2 linked regions of the Anolis sagrei genome follow. The protein of the gene in region 2 interacts with the protein of the main gene of each other region in a pairwise test. Links are inferred from orthologs where the notes say so. Each region holds a gene or a part of one and is shown on either strand. Other genes may lie near its edges.

Region 1 (7,859 bases), on a different chromosome or scaffold from region 2:
TGCCATTGTTCAATTCTTCAGACCACTGCAACCCTCATCCAATTATCAATAAATACCAAACTTGGCACACTGAGACACCATGACACACTCTACATCCAGGTGCAGTTTGAAGGAGGATGCACCATGGACAATGGGACTTGCAATACCTGCACTCCCTTCCTAAGACCATTACGACTGCCAACAATGATGGATCAGGACCACAATTTACACAGAGACCCAGCATGACCCACTCTACATCCTGGTGCGGTTTGGAAGAATTTGACAATGGATGATGGGACTTGCAGTCACTTCACTCACTTCCTGAGACCACTGAGACCCTCGCCAATGACCAATCAAGACTAAACTTGGCACATGGAGCTCCAGTGACCCACTCTACATCCTGGTGCACTTTGGAGGAGGACAGATCATGGATGATGGGACTTCAAGTACCTCCACTCCCCAAGACTGCTGCAATCTCATCTAATGACCAATCAAGACCAAAGTTGGCACACAGAGCCCCCATGACCCACTCTACATCCTGCTGCAGTTTTGGAGGAGGGTTGACCATGGATGATGGAACTTCCAGTACCTTCACTCACATTCTGAGACCTCTGCAAACCTCATCCAATGACAGATCAAGACCAAACTTGGCACATAGACCTCTCATGACCCACTTTACGTCCTGGTGTTGTTTGGAAAAATTTGGAGATGGATGATGGGACTTGAAGTACCTTTGCTCACTTCCTGAGACCACTGAGACCCTAGCCAATGACTAATCAAGACTAAACTTGGCACATGGAACTCCAATGACCGACTCTACATCCTGGTGCAGTTTGGAGGAGGACAGACCATGGATGATGGGACTTCAAGTACCTCCACTCCCTTCCGAAGATTGCTGCAACACTCTTCTAATGACCAATCAAGACCAAACTTGGCACACAGAGCCCCCATGATCCACTCTACATCCTGCTGCAGTTTGAAAGAGGATGGACTTTGGATGATGGGACTTCAAGTACCTTCACTCACTTAATGACACCAATGCCACCCTCATCTAATGACTGATAAAGACCAAACTTGGCACACAGAGCCCCCATGACCCACTCTATATCCTGCTGCTGTTTGTAGGAGGATGGGCCATGGATGATGGGACTTCAAGTACCTTCACTCACTTCCTGAAAATAATGCAGCCGTTATCCAAAGACCAATAAAGACCAAACTTGGCATACAGAACCACTATTACCCACTTTCTCTAATAACCTGGGCAATGCCGGGTCCCCAAGCTAGTATATATATATAAATGCTCTGTGCATAATCAGTACCCTAAAAACAAAAAACAAAAAAACCAATGAATGAAATCACACCAAATTTGGCCACAAAACGTCTCACAATAGGAGTGACCATCACTCAAAAATTATGATTTTGTCATTTGGGAGTTATAGTTGCTGGGATTTATAGTTTACCTATAATCAAAGAGCATTCTGGACTCCACCAATGATGAAATTGAACCAAACAACGATGGAATTGAACATCTAGAGAGCACTGTGGACTCAAACAATGATGGATCTGGACCATACTTGGCACGAATACTCAATATGCCCAAACATAAACACAGATGGAGTTTGGGGAAAACAGACCTTGACATTTGGGAGTTGTAGTTACTGGGATTTATAGTTCACCTACAATCAAGGAGCATTCTGAAGCCCACCAATGACAGAATTGGGGCAAACTTCCCACACAGAACCCTCATGACCAACAGAAAATACTGTGTTTTCTGGTGGTCTTCGGCAACCCTTCTGACACCTCCTCGCAACCCCCAAAGGGTCCCAAACCCCAGGTTGAAAAATGCTGCCTGAAGGCCATCCAATCCAACTCCCTTCACCAAGGCAAGAAAACATAAACATAGCCCTCCTGACAAAGGGCCATCCACACACACACATATGTGTATATGACAGATGCAGTATCAAAAATTTGAAAGGGATCCCTAAAGAAGGACAATGATATGTTGTATGTTCCAGAGTAGGCAAACCAGACATCAACACTGGCAAAGAAACAGCAAGAAATACTGTTTACCCACAAGCAGAAAGACATTACATATATTGGAAACCAACACTTTCTCATTACTTTATTTTCCAGATCACCAGACTGGGCCACAGCAACGCGTGGCAGGGGACCACTAATATTTGTTAAAATTGTTCTTCATTTTAATTATTGTATTGTTTTAAAGTGTTTTTTTGCACTACAAATAAGATATGTGCAGTGTGCATAGGAATTCATTCAAGTTTTTTTCTAATTATAATCCGGCCCTCCAACAGTTTGAGGGACTGTGACCTGGCACTCATAGAATCAAAGAGTTGGAAGAGACCTCATGGGCCATCCAGTCCAACCCCCTGCCAAGAAGCAGGAATATTGCATTCAAATCACCCCTGACAAATGGCCATCCAGCCTCTGCTTAAAAGCTTCCAAAGAAGGAGCCTCCACCACACTCCGGGGCAGAAAGTTCCACTGCTGAACGGCTCTCACAGTCAGGAAGTTCTTCCTAATGTTCAGATGGAATCTCCTCTCTTGTAGTTTGAAGCCATTGTTCTGCGTCCTAGTCTCCAAGGAAGCAGAAAACAAGCTTGCTCCCTCCTCCCTGTGGCTTCCTCTCACATATTTATACATGGCTATCATATCTCCTCTCAGCCTTCTCTTCTTCAGGCTAAACATGCCCAGTTCCCTAAGCCGCTCCTCATAGGGCTTGTTCTCCAGACCCTTGATCATTTTAGTCGCCCTCCTCTGGACACATTCCAGCTTGTCAATATCTCTCTTGAATTGTGGTGCCCAGAATTGGACACAATATTCCAGATGTGGTCTAACCAAAGCAGAATAGAGGGGTAGCATTACTTCCTTAGATCTAGACACTATGCTCCTATCTGTTTGAAGTGTTTGAGGACCCCTGGTCTACATGGTTTGGATCCAGATGACCTGCAGGATCGCCTTCTCCCATACAATTTGCCCTGTACACTTGGGTCCTGGGGGGGGGGGGGGGGGGGAATTCCAATCAGACTATTTTTCATCTTGCCATGTTCCCTGCTGGGGTCCCCAATGGGATCAGGAAACCAAAGCCCCTCCCCCCGCCTCTCACCCGATTCCCTCAACTGAGGGCGGGGCCCCAGGAAGAAATGCTTCTGGCTTGGCCAACTTTCCTCCTTCCGCTCCCTCCCCTCCTCCTCCGGCCGCTCCAGCTCCAGCTCACAACCCTCCCGCTTGCTTGCTACCTACCTGCCTGCCTGCTGTGGGGAGGGGGCTCGGGGACCCTGTGCCTTCCACCTGCGGCTGACCACGAGACCAGGAAGCGCTCTGCTGCGGGGCGAAGCGGAGGCAAAGCCAGCCCTCTCCTTCCACGCGCCTCCCACCTCGGCCCCATCTCACGCGCTCGCGGGGCGCCCCCCAGCGGTCAACACGCGTTTCCTGGGAGCTGGCCTTAGAACGCCGCGTGGGAAGGGCTCCAGCTGTGGGAACAACGCCCGCCTCGCGCCAACGCCGGGCAAAGGAAGGCGGGAGCAGGGGGGCTGTTTATCTCTTCAATGCTGTCCCCAGTTTACACCAGGAAGTGAGCGCCCTTTGAACGCTCCAAAACGTTTTTTTGCTGGTGACGCGCTTTTGCATGAAGGAAAACAAGAGAGACGCTTGTGGGCCTCAGGAATCATCAGAGGGGAGTGAAGGGCCCTTCCACACAACCATATAACCCAGAATATTGTTTATTTATTTATTTACCTTACTTATATACCGCTGTTCTCAGCCCGAAGGCGACTCACAGCGGTTCACAACAAATACGAACAGCAAAAATTCAGTGCTATAGTATAGAAACAGTTAACAACCTAACACATTACACAATTAATAAACAGTTACTACAATACCCATTCACTGTCGTCTCGTCATCAAAAACATGTTCCAGATTCGTCATCCATTGTTCCATTCCAGTGTTCATTAACCAATCATTGCACTAATTATTGGAACGCCTGCTCAAACAGCCAGGTCTTCACTTTTTTTGCGGAATACCATTAGAGATGGTGCTAGTCTAATGTCCGTAGGAAGGGCGTTCCACAGCCGAGGAGCCACCACCGAGAAGGCCCTATCTCTTGTCCCCGCCAGCCGAGCTTGAGAAGCAGGCGGGATCGAGAGCAGGGTCTCCCTGGAAGATCTCAAAGTCCTGGTGGGTTCATAGGCAGAGATGCGGTCGGATAGGTAGCTTGGGCTGGAACCGTTTAGGGCTTTAAAGGCCAACGCCAGCACTTTGAATTCAGCCCGGTAGCAGATCGGTAGCCAGTGGAGTTGGGGCAACAGGGGGGTTGTATGCTCCCTGCGCTCCACTCCTGTTAAAATCATGGCTGCTGAGCGTTGGACTAGTTGGAGCTTCCGAGCAGTCTTCAAAGGCAACCCCACGTAGAGAGCGTTGCAGTAGTCTAAACGGGATGTAACCAGAGCGTGGACTACCATGGCCAAGTCAGACTTCCCAAGGTACGGGCGCAGCTGGCGCACAAGCTTTAGCTGTGCAAATGCTCCCCTGGTCACCGCCGAAACCTGGGGTTCCAGGCTCAGCGATGAGTCCAGGGTCACACCCAAGCTGAGAACCTGCGCCTTCAGGGGGAGTGCGGCCCCATCCAACACAGGCTGTAACCCTATGCCCTGTTCGGCCTTGCGACTGACCAGGAGTACCTCTGTCTTGTCTGGATTCAATTTCAATTTGTTCGCCCTCATCCAGACCGTCACAGCGGCCAAGCACCGGTTCAGGACCTGGACAGCCTCCTTAGTAGCAGGTGGAAAGGAGTGACAGAGTTGGACATCATCCGCGTACAGATGACATCGTACCCCGAAACTCCGGATGATCTCCCCCAGCGGCTTCATGTAGATGTTAAACAACATGGGAGACAATATTGAGCCCTGAGGAACCCCACAAGACAATGGTTGTGGGGTTGAACAGGTGTCCCCAACAACACCTTCTGAGATCGACCCTCTAGGAATGACCGGAGCCACTGCAAAACAGTACCTCCAAGACCCATCCCCGCGAGGCATCCCAGAAGGATACCGTGGTCAACGGTATCGAAGGCCGCTGAGAGGTCCAGCAGCACCAACAGGGACACACTCCCCCTGTCGAGCTCCAGGCGCAGATCATCCACTAAGGCAACCAATATCATATATTATAGCAGATAACCCACAATGTCTGCTTTGAACTGGATTTGTTTATTTATTTATGTCGAACATTTTTACCCCGCCCTTCTCAACCCCTGGGGGGACTCAGGGCGGTTTAAAATTGGCAATAATTCAATGCCACATCATAAAATACAGAATAACAAATATAACAAACATCTATATAAATAAAAATGTCATGTTCGTTTGTGGTACCATCAGAACTCAAAAACCACTGGGGGAATTGACACCAAATTTGGACACAAGACACCTAACAACCCAATGTATGTCCTCCACTCAAAAAAATTGATTTTGTCATTTGGGAATTGTCGTTGCTGGGATTTATAGTTTACCTACAATCAAAGAGCATTCTGAACTCCACCAATGATGGAATTGGGCCAATCTTAGCACAAAGGGACCAACAGAAAAAACTGGAAGGGTTTGGTGGACATTGACCTTGAGTTTGGAAATTGAAGTTCACCCACATCCAGAGAGCACTGTGGACTCAAACAATGATGGATCTGGACCAAACTTGGCACGAATATTCCATATGTCCAAATATGAACACAGGTGGAGTTTAAGGGAAATAGACCTTGACATTTGGCAGTTGTAGTTGCTGGGATTTATAGTTCACCTACAATCAAAGAGCATTCTGAACTCCACCAATGATGGAATTGAACCAAACATGGCATACAGGACTTCCATGACCAATGGAACACACTGGACATTGACTTTGAGTTTGGGAGTTGTAGTTCACATACATCCAGAGAGCACTGTGGACTCAAACAATGATGGATCTGGACCAAACTTGACACAAAAATTCCATATGCCCAAATATGAACACAGATGGAGTTTGGAGGAAATAGACCTTGACATTTGGGGTTTGTAGTTACTAGGATTTATAGTTCACTACAATTAAAGAGCATTCTGAAACCCACAAACGACAGAAATGGGGCAAACTTCCCACTCGGGAACCCCATGGCCAACGGAAAATACTTAAGGCCATCCAGTCCAACTCTCTTCACCAGGGCAAGAAAATGTAATCAGAACCCTCCTGACAAAGAGCCATCCAGTCATAAATATAGATAGATAGATATGATTCTCTCTCACACACACAGATATAGTATCATGGATTTGAAAGAGACCCTTAAAGAAGGACTATGATATGTTCCATATTACAGAGTAGGCAAACCAGACACTCTCCACATCAACACTGACAAAGAAACAACAAGAAATACTGTTTACTCACAAGCCTAAAGAAATTATATATATTAGAAACCAACACTTTCTCATTACTTTATTTTCCAGATCACCAGACTGGGCCACAGCAACGTGTGGCAGGGGACAGCTAATTATTATAATAAAATGGTAGCTAAGAACTAGTTTGCTTTTTATCCCTCTCAAACCCTTGCATCCTTTTTTCTTTTGCATTATGTCTTATCTTTGTTCGCTGCAAACATCTCCGAGTCTTTTTTTAGCTGTAAATGGAAGTAGGTCAAGTAAGTACCGTATAAAAATTTCCTTTCTTAGAATGGTACTCGTGCCCTCTAGTGATACCATTTTCCATGGTTTTCTTACCCCATTCTTGCTATTGAATAACATTTTTTTAATGTGTTGGTTTAGTGGGATGGGAGCCCAAGTTGAAAGCTGTGAGGAGGCATGAATGGCATCAGGACTCTTAGCTGTTTACCTTTTACTTTAAGAGTTTATATTCTGTAAGTATGTGTTTTGTTTCTTGAAGGTACAAGAAGGATGACAAGGGGAATCCTCAATGTGCAGGGAAATTTAGCATAACCCTGAGACAAGATCCATTTAAGTCTTTAGTTTTATACTTTCAGAGTTGAAAGCACAGCAAGAAAAACAAGAAAATCCCTACTGGTGTAAGGACACAAGATGATTGTGTTATTGTATGTTATGGATATGATAGAAACACATGCAATATTTTTGGAATATAAGTGTTGGAAACTACTTTGGTTGACACTGGAAGAAGAAAAAAATCCATTCTGAGATCACTATGTAACTCCTCCAAAAATACTATTTTTGCATTTTTTTAAAAGTAGCTGACAGTTCACTCCTAATGAAGTGGGAAAGTAGGACTTGCACCTCTGCATTGTTCTTTTTGTGTATGTTTATGTGTGTTTATGTGTGAGAAAGATAATAGTAAAAGCTTTCTGGCTTCATTTCACTCACTGGATATGGGGACTAGTTGTGAGCACAGGCTTTTCACAAATTCTTTTCCTGAGGGCAGAGAAACTTGACATCCCACTCCCTCAAAGCACAGAATATCATAAATCAGTCACAAGTCTGCCCATTTTTGTGGCAGGTAGGCATTTAAAAGATTATATAACTTTCATAGTTTGTTTTACTACAAGACTACAGGAACTAATTTGATTTATTCACAAAGGAGTAGTTTGAATATTTGAGCAACGAAACCTAACCTTGTTGACTGTTTCAGACAGGAAGGTGCAGCAATAGGTACATCTTTCCCCTTAAATGGCGGGATAGAAAATAAATAGCTTTGAATAGCGCAGGCATGGGGAACCTTCGGCTCTCCAGGTGTGGTGGACTTCAACTCCCACAATTCCTTGAGGCCAAGGTAAGCCTTTGGGGTGAATGCCGAGCCTCAAGGAATTGTGGGAGTTGAAGTCCACCACACCTGGAGAGCCGAAGGTTCCTGACCCCTGGAATAGCGTCTATAACATACTGCCATC
Region 2 (8,348 bases):
CAATGTTGTAGATATGCATTGATTCAGATTTGTTGAAAATAGCAACCTTCTTCAATATCACACTAGTAATTTGTTTGTATAGGATTTGGTTTGTTTACTGTATTATATTTGTATGTTTTGATATGCAGCTTTCCCTTTACTCTATGTTTCTTGAGGTTGTGGGAGGGGCTCCAGATCTGGGACTGCTCAGAGCTCAGTCTCCATTTTAGAGCAGAAACACCATTAGACTATGGACTGTTACGAGCAAACTCATGATGCTGTTGATTGTAAGAAAGATGCCCTGTGTTATATGCACAGAGAAACTACTTTTAGACCTATCTGTAACTGGATTAACAAGCTATGTACCTGTATGCTGAATACATGAAGGATATGAGTAAACCAAATATATCACTTTTAACAAAATCTTGAGAGCATGATATAGAAACAAGATATTTTATGGGAGAGTAGAGGTATTTTTGTGCACCCAAGAACTGCTATATTTTGTGTATTGGCATAACCTCTGTTCCTAACAGATGAGAGACAACCGGGTTATCAGTCTAAAAACTGGAAACCAAATTGCCTTGCATAAGTACATGTGATTATATACCACTGAAGAGAAGATTTTACTCAAATGAGGTTTTTGGCTTCTCTTTGGAAGATCATACTTTTGCAAAAAGGTTATTATTTTCAAATGGTTGGGAATGACATTTTTCTCCAAAAGGTTATGGAGATTCTGGATTTCAAAAAAGATTGGATTAAGGAATATGCTGTTTATCGCCTTAGAAAATAAGAACAATTTAGAGGAGAGGAAGCTCGGGCCCTCTTCATATCAGTCCCAACCTGCAGAGCTTATGGTCAGTGATAATGGAAATTGTAGTTCAACATTAGCTAGAGTACTCACATCCCCCTTTATGATCTAGAGCAGGATCAGGCCCTCCATCTCCTTTTTCAGAGTTCAATTTGGGGGCCACAGCCATGTTTTTTCTTTGTCAATTTGGCTCTCAATTTTTCCCAGGAACTCCCCTCCTCATCCTATTATTATTATTATTATTATTATTATTATATACACAAGATGAGTACACAGCAAACAACTATTCTTAAACTATTTATTTATCAGTATTTACTATATTTTTTCATTCATTTATCATGTCAGGGGCAACCAGACCATTTACTATATTTGCTATATTTACTATATTTATACCCCGCCTTCTCTCACCTTGAAGGGAACTCACAGCACCTTACAAGTATTTATTTATTTATTTCAGACACTTCTACCCTGCAACAATTCAATGCCACATAAGCAGATATACAAATAAAATAAATATCTACCATAAGGGTAAAAAACATCTGCCTGAGAAGTTTTTACTAGATCTTTTCTAAGATCTACAGAGATACTCGCTGGAACACCTCAGCAAGCGAGAGTCCAAAAATGGCAGGCTCAAACCCAGAACCTCAACCAATGGCTGATACCAAATGAGAGACTCCCCCCTGGGCACTCAGAAGACTGGGCGACTTGGAAGGCGCTGAACTGACTGTTCTCTGGCACCACGAGATGCAGAGCCAACCTTCAGAAATGGGGCTACAAAGTGGAATCCTCGACATGCGAGTGTGGAGAAGAGCAAACCACAGACCACCTGCTGCAATGCAACCTGAGCCCTGCCACATGCACAATGGAGGACCTTCTTGCAGAAACACCAGAAGGACTCCAAGTGGCCAGATACTGGTCAAAGGACATTTAATCAACTACCAAACTCACAATTCTGTACTTTGTCTGTTTTGTTTGCTTTGTTCTGTTAGAAATGTAATACAATTGACTGGTTGCCCTGACACGACAAATAAATACTTGAGCCCAGGTATATGGTTATGTAAATTAGGTAAAAAAATCAAATATTTCCTGATACTAAACCAGCATTTGCAAGACTAGCTAAACAGGTTGATTATCTTTTTGGTGGAGCCCCTGGTGGCGCAGTGGGTTAAACCCCTGTGCCGGCAGGACTGAAGACTGACAGGTTGCAGGTTCAAATCTGGGGAGAGGCAGATGAGCTCCTTCTATCAGCTCCAGCTCCTCATGCGGGGACATGAGAGAAGCCTCCAACAAGGATGATAAAAACATCAAATCATCTGGGCGTCCCCTGGGCAATGTCCTTGCAGACGGCCCATTCTCTCACACCAGAAGTGACTTGCAGATTCTCAAGTCTCTCCTGACACGACAAAAAAAACAAACCCCTATATTTATACCCCGCCTTCTTGCACCTTGAAGGGGACTCACTGCGCCTTACAAGTAGGCAACAATTCAATGCCACATAAGCAGACATACAAATAAAATAAACATCTACATTAAAAACCATAAAGAAGTTTTCACATGAGCCCAGGTATATAGTTATGTAAATTAGGTACAGAAATCAAATATTTCCTGATACTAAACCAGCATTTGCAAGACTAGCTAAACAGGCTGATTATCTTTTTGGTGGAGTACAGCTGAAGCATTTTCTGCAGAGTCCACTATAAACACTGCCCCTTGTTGCTAACAGATTTGTGCAAATGGGTGATGATCAGAAACCTTTTACCTTTGCCAAGTTTTTCAGCATTGAGCTAAGAGGACTCCACTTGGGGATGGATCCCAGTTTAAGAAGCAGTGATCTAGAGTTAAAGAAGTAGTCAGCAGTTGCTTCTGGACTATTATCCTGGACTGTGCTGTAACCTACAAGAAGCACAGCTGTTGGGAATTGTGGGAGTTGAAGTCCAAAACACCTGGAGGGCCCAAGTCTGCCCATGCTTGATAGATTCCCAAAATGTGGTCCTTCTGCTCCAAAACAAAACACAACCAAGACCCTGCCAGATTGGCTCACAGTCAGAGGAGTTCTGGGATTTGTACTTTGGGTACAGAGAAGCCTAAAGGCCTTGCAAAACTACAACTCCCAGAATACCATAGCATTCAGTCATTGGTGGTGCCAAACTGTATTAATTCTGCACCCTTGCAACCCAGAGTCCCTTTACATTTACAGGAAACGAAACAGGGGCTCAAGTATAGTCTGGAAACAAGCCCAGAGCCAAAGGGCAATTTAAGACCCTGAAGGGGGGGGGGTCCTCCTCGCAGCGCCCCTTCCCCTTTAAAAGGCCCCACGCGCTTGTTACCTGGCCCGGCGCGCGCTCCTCTGGCGAAAGCAGCTCACGAGCCAATCGCGAGTCTTCTTTTCCAGTTCTCATCCCAACGCGGAATGTGATTGGACGCTGGGTCTCCCAAGGTCGTTCATCCTTGCGCTGTGATTCGACGGGCGTTCAGACCCGGAGAGGCGGGACGAGGAGCTTTTAAAGGTGCAGCAGAAGCATTGTTGCAAAGAGGGAATGCAGTTGGATATCACTTTAACTACATTTATTTTATTTATTTCCTATATTTATACCCCGCCCTTCTCACTCCCGAGGGGGGGGGGGAGTGTCATCATAATAAAACAATCAACAATACATTAAAATATTAAAATATTAATAATTAAAACAATTAACACACACCTGTTAAAATCAGTGGGTGTCAAGCTGCATTCATTCTATAGTGTAAAGACACCTAAATAAAACATTATTATTGTTATTAGATACACAAGCAGATTATTAGGATGAGAGACACCTACATAAAACATTACTATTGTGATTAGATACACAACAAGATTATTATTAGATACATAACAGATACACAACAAGATTAGTACACAGCAAACAAGATCACTATACTGGCCTTTTTATTGCATCACACATCAGTCACTTCCCAAGTGTCTAGGACTGTGTGATGTATCAGCGAATAATGCGTGCAGATCCAAGTTGGGTGGCCCTTTGCAGCTGGCAGATGGTAATTTTGTCAGCGCTGGTTGTTTTTAAGTGCAGGCCAAGGTCTTTAGGCACTGCACCCAGTGTGCCAATCACCACTGAGACCACCTTTACTGACCTGTGACAGTTTTTGCAGTTCTATCTTTAAATCTTCGTACTGTGTCAACTTTTCCAGTTGTTTGTCTATTATTATTATTATTATTATTATTATTATTATCATTATTAGAAACATAACAAGATGAGTCCACAGCAAACAAGATCTCTGTTGGTTGTTGTATTGGATCACACTTCGGACACTTCCCAAGTGTCTAGGACTGTGTGATGTATCGGCAAATGATGCGTGCAGATCCCAGTAAGGTGGCCTTCTGCAGCTGGCAGATGGTAATCTTGTCAGTGCTGATTGTGTTTAAGTGCAGGCCAAGGTCTTTAGGCACTGCACCCAGTGTTCCCATCACCACTGGGACTACCTTTACTGGCTTGTGCCAGAGTCTTTGCAATTTGATCTTTAAATCTTCATATTGTCTTAGCTTTTCCAGTTGTTTCTCTTCAACTCTGCTGTCACCTGGGATTCCAACATCGGAGATCCACACTGTTTTTTAACATGATCGTGAGATCAGGAGTATTATGCTCCAAAACTCTGTCAGTCTGAACTCAGAAGTCCCAGAGTACTTTGACGTGTTCATTCTCTATAACTTTTTCCAGCTTGTGATCCCACCAGTTCTTTGTCGCAGGCAGATGGTATTTGTGGCACAGGTTCCAATGAATCATCTGAGCAACAGTGTTACGTCTCTGCTTGTAGTCCGTCTGTGCGATCTTCTTGCAGCAGCTGAGGATGTGATGTATTGTTTCATCTGCTTCCTTGCAGAGTCTATACTTGGGATCTGTCATCGACTTTTCCAATTCTGGCTTTGATGGCATTGGTTCTAATGGTTTGTTCTTGGGCTGCCAGAATCAGGTCCTCCTTTATCTCCTTTTTTAAAGTTCCATTTGGGAGCCACAGCCATGTTTTTTCTTTTGTCAATTTGGCTCTCAATTTCTCCCAGGAACTCTCCTCCTCCTCCTCCTCCTCCTATTATTATTATTATTATTATTATTATTATTATTATTATTATTATTTACACAAGATGAGTACACAGCAAACAAGATCATTATACTATCCTTTCTATTGGATCACACATGGGACACTTCCCAAGTGTCTAGGACTGTGTGATGTATCAGCGAACAATGCGTGCAGATCCGAGTAGGGTGGCCTTTTGCAGCTGACAGATGGTAATTTTGCCAGCATCGATTGTTTATAAGTGCAGGCCAAGGTGTTCAAGAGCTTCACCCAGTGTGCCAGTCACCACTGGAACAACCTTTACTGGCTTGTGCCAATTTGATCTTTAAATCCTATTATTATTATTATTATTATTATTATTATTATTATTATTATTATTATTAAAGAGTATGATGGCTTGCCTGTTGTTTTTAATAGTGGACATCACATCACTAACACTATGTAAGAAAATTTGAAAAAAAAAATCTGTTCCGGGTTTGCAAGTGTAATTTCCTATTTCATTCTGCAGTACTAACTTTGAAAATAGTTCTACTCCATGAATTTCATTTTTGTGGCTGCCACAAACTACGTTGAATTGGTTGAGAGTCTGTGAAATAATCATTGAAAACTATAGCAAAATGTGCTGCAGGATTTCCCACAAAAACCATGTTTTTGCAGTGTAATAAACGTTTTCCATATTTTAAATGATAGAACCAATTAGGAAAATGACATTTATAACCCAAGAACAAAAATTATGTTACATAGTGTAATCATATTCTTTAAAAAGCACATACAAATCATGTCATGGGGCAGCAGAGGTTGTTGCTTGTATTTTGACATTTAAGACTGGCAACATTACACACTGAACGTCTAATAAAGCAAGTCTTTGAGGAACAGTCATGGTGTCCTTTGAGCTCAAAACAACAGAACAGACAACACTGGGTTTCCAATTTTTTATTGGCAGGATAGACAGCCTGACGTCTGTGCATGGGATAATAAATAAATAAAATAAATATTAAATAAGGAAGCAAAATAACTTAGGAATACAAAGGTGTCAAGAACACACACGGTAACAACCAAAATAAATGCTGATCACTTAATTAATAAATGCAACCAGCAACGTGAGGGCACTCGGACTAGCGACGGTCAGCAAGAGGTTTCGGTTGTGGGTTTGGGTCCGTATCTCATGCCTTTGGGCAAAGCAAGCCATTGTATCGATGCTACTTTCTGGCCTCAGGAGAACTTCTGTATTTTTGGATTACAATCATAAAGTGCCAACACACTTCTACCCAATTATTGGCTTCTTCAAACAATAGAAAACCCTTACATGTTTACATATCACTAGCTAGTAATGTGGAAATATCATAATTGAGAAGTGAATGCCTGCTCTAGGGCAAACACATACACACAAAAGAAATACAAGGCCCTAGTTCAGAAAGAACGGCAACGAAGAGAAATCTCTTTTGCATTCAACTTGCTTGCACTTCAGTAGTACTAAGTGAGGCAGGGCCTTTCAGCCAAGTCTAGAATCAGAGAGTTGGAAGAGACCCCAAGGGCCATCCAGTCCCACCCCATTCAGCCATGCAGGAACACACAATCCAAGCACTCCCAACAGATGGCCATCTAACTTTTTAAAAAACTTCCAGAGAAGAAAATTCCTCCATAGTCTGAGACAGCATACAGTTTCCTGCTATTAGACAGTACTTCAACGGGCTAACAGATTTATTAGACCAGTGGTTCTCAACCTGTGGATCCCCAGGTGTTTTGGCCTCCAACTCCCAGAAATCCCAGTCAGTTTACCAGCTGTTAGGATTCTGGGAGTTGAAGGCCAAAACATCTGGAGACCCACAGGTTGAGAACCACTTTATTAGACAGACTTCAATAGGCTATGGAGTCCCCAGAGGTGCAATGGGTTAAACCCTTGTCGGCAGGATTGCTGACTGAAAGGTCAGTGGTTCAGATCCGGGGAGCGGGGTGAGCTCCCCTCTGTCAGCTCCACCTTCCCATGCGGGGACATGAAAGAAGCCTCCCACAGGATGGCAAAACATCCAGATGTCCCTGGGCAATGACTCTGCAGATGGCCAAATCTCTCACACTGGAAGCAACTTGCAGTTTCTCAAGTTGGTCCTGACACGAAAAAAAGGGTTTGCAGACTTATCTGCTTAGACTTACTAAACTGCTAAAATGATTATGTGATGACATTTGAGGAACCTTGGAATTACTTGGAAAAACAAGAACCTTCAAGATTACTCATCCTCACAATAACCTATCAAAATAGTAGTGACTTCATCCCTGTCCCAGGCAGCAAGGATGGGAATTATGCACCCCCTGCATTGGATTGCAACTCTCAGCAGCTCAGACCAGAGATAACAAATTCGAGGAGTTGCAGTCCAACAACATCTGGAGGATCTCAAGATTCCCACCCCACCTTGCAAACTAAGTGTATTAAAGTGTATGATCATAAATTCATGAACATAAATTGCATTCAGTCGGTGATGTCTACAGGCACATGTTTGGGGACTGGGAGGGCTGCTTCTTTCACTTAAAGAAGGCTGACAGGCATCTCTTCCTCTAGTTCAGTGGTTGCCAGCCTTTGATCCTCCGGTTCTTTTGGACTTCAACTCCCAGAAATCCCAGCCAGCTTACCAGTTGTTAGGAATTGTGGAAGCTGAACTACAAAATACTTAGACCAAAGGATGGGAACTACAATTTGACTGTGGAGTGGTAACATGCCCCATTAACTTCACCCAGTTATAAAGCGCAATAATTTTGCCACAGACCTATACAGCTTGTGACTCACTAAGTTAAACATAGGTTTCCCGGATTTTGATCAACCTCTAACTTTTGTATCGTCGAAGGCTTTGATAGCCGGAATCACTGGGTTGCTGTAAGTTTTTCGAGCTGTATGGTCATATTCCAGAAGCATTCTCTCCTAACATTTTGCCTGCATCTATGAATAGATGCAGGCGAAACATCAGGAAAGAATGCTTCTGGAACATGGCCATACAGCCCAAAAACTTACAGCAACCCAACCTCTAACTTTTGTCTACTGTCTGGGATGACAGAGGACAGAAAGAAATGTTAAGCTTCTGCCAGATCACAATATACTCAGCTGGTGGGCTATGTTTGACTTGGCCAGTCACAGACTGCACAGGCCTCTAACCAAGGCACACAACAATAAGGACAGCGACAAAAAAGACACACATTACCACTCATTCTATGAAACTGAGGGCACATCTACACGGACCACTTAAGTCAGCTACAAACTGATATTGAAGAAAACAGGTTCTCCACACAGATTACAAAGGAAGTCCTGGAACCAGTCTGAGGACTGGAAGGTGATTCCATAAACCACAGAGCACTAATCAACATTAAGGACTTTCTTTGGAGCACCTTTATAGGAGTTTGTTGTCTAGCTACTGCAGCTTGGAAGCCAGCTTGGAACTGCATTAAATGGTTGGTGTAGATGGAACCTTAGTTCATTTCTTCCAGGGGCAAACTGTCTCAAGATACACAA

The links. The genes of interacting proteins can lie anywhere in the genome.
Region 1: the proteins of WDR6 (region 2) and PTPN3 interact in binary tests that used the Homo sapiens proteins (3 or more experiments, as listed by UniProt). The two-hybrid records come from large-scale screens. The link is inferred for Anolis sagrei from reciprocal best matches to the Homo sapiens genes WDR6 and PTPN3.

What each region holds. Positions count from the first base shown.
Region 1 is NC_090026.1:59,187,311-59,195,169, forward strand, and holds the start of PTPN3 (tyrosine-protein phosphatase non-receptor type 3), read right to left. Parts: upstream 3,391-7,859; 5' UTR 3,386-3,390; coding exon 3,241-3,385; intron 1-3,240.
Region 2 is NC_090022.1:28,501,869-28,510,216, forward strand, and holds the start of WDR6 (tRNA (34-2'-O)-methyltransferase regulator WDR6), read right to left. Parts: upstream 3,172-8,348; 5' UTR 3,115-3,171; intron 1-3,114. UniProt on the Homo sapiens protein: Together with methyltransferase FTSJ1, methylates the 2'-O-ribose of nucleotides at position 34 of the tRNA anticodon loop of substrate tRNAs. Required for the correct positioning of the substrate tRNA for methylation.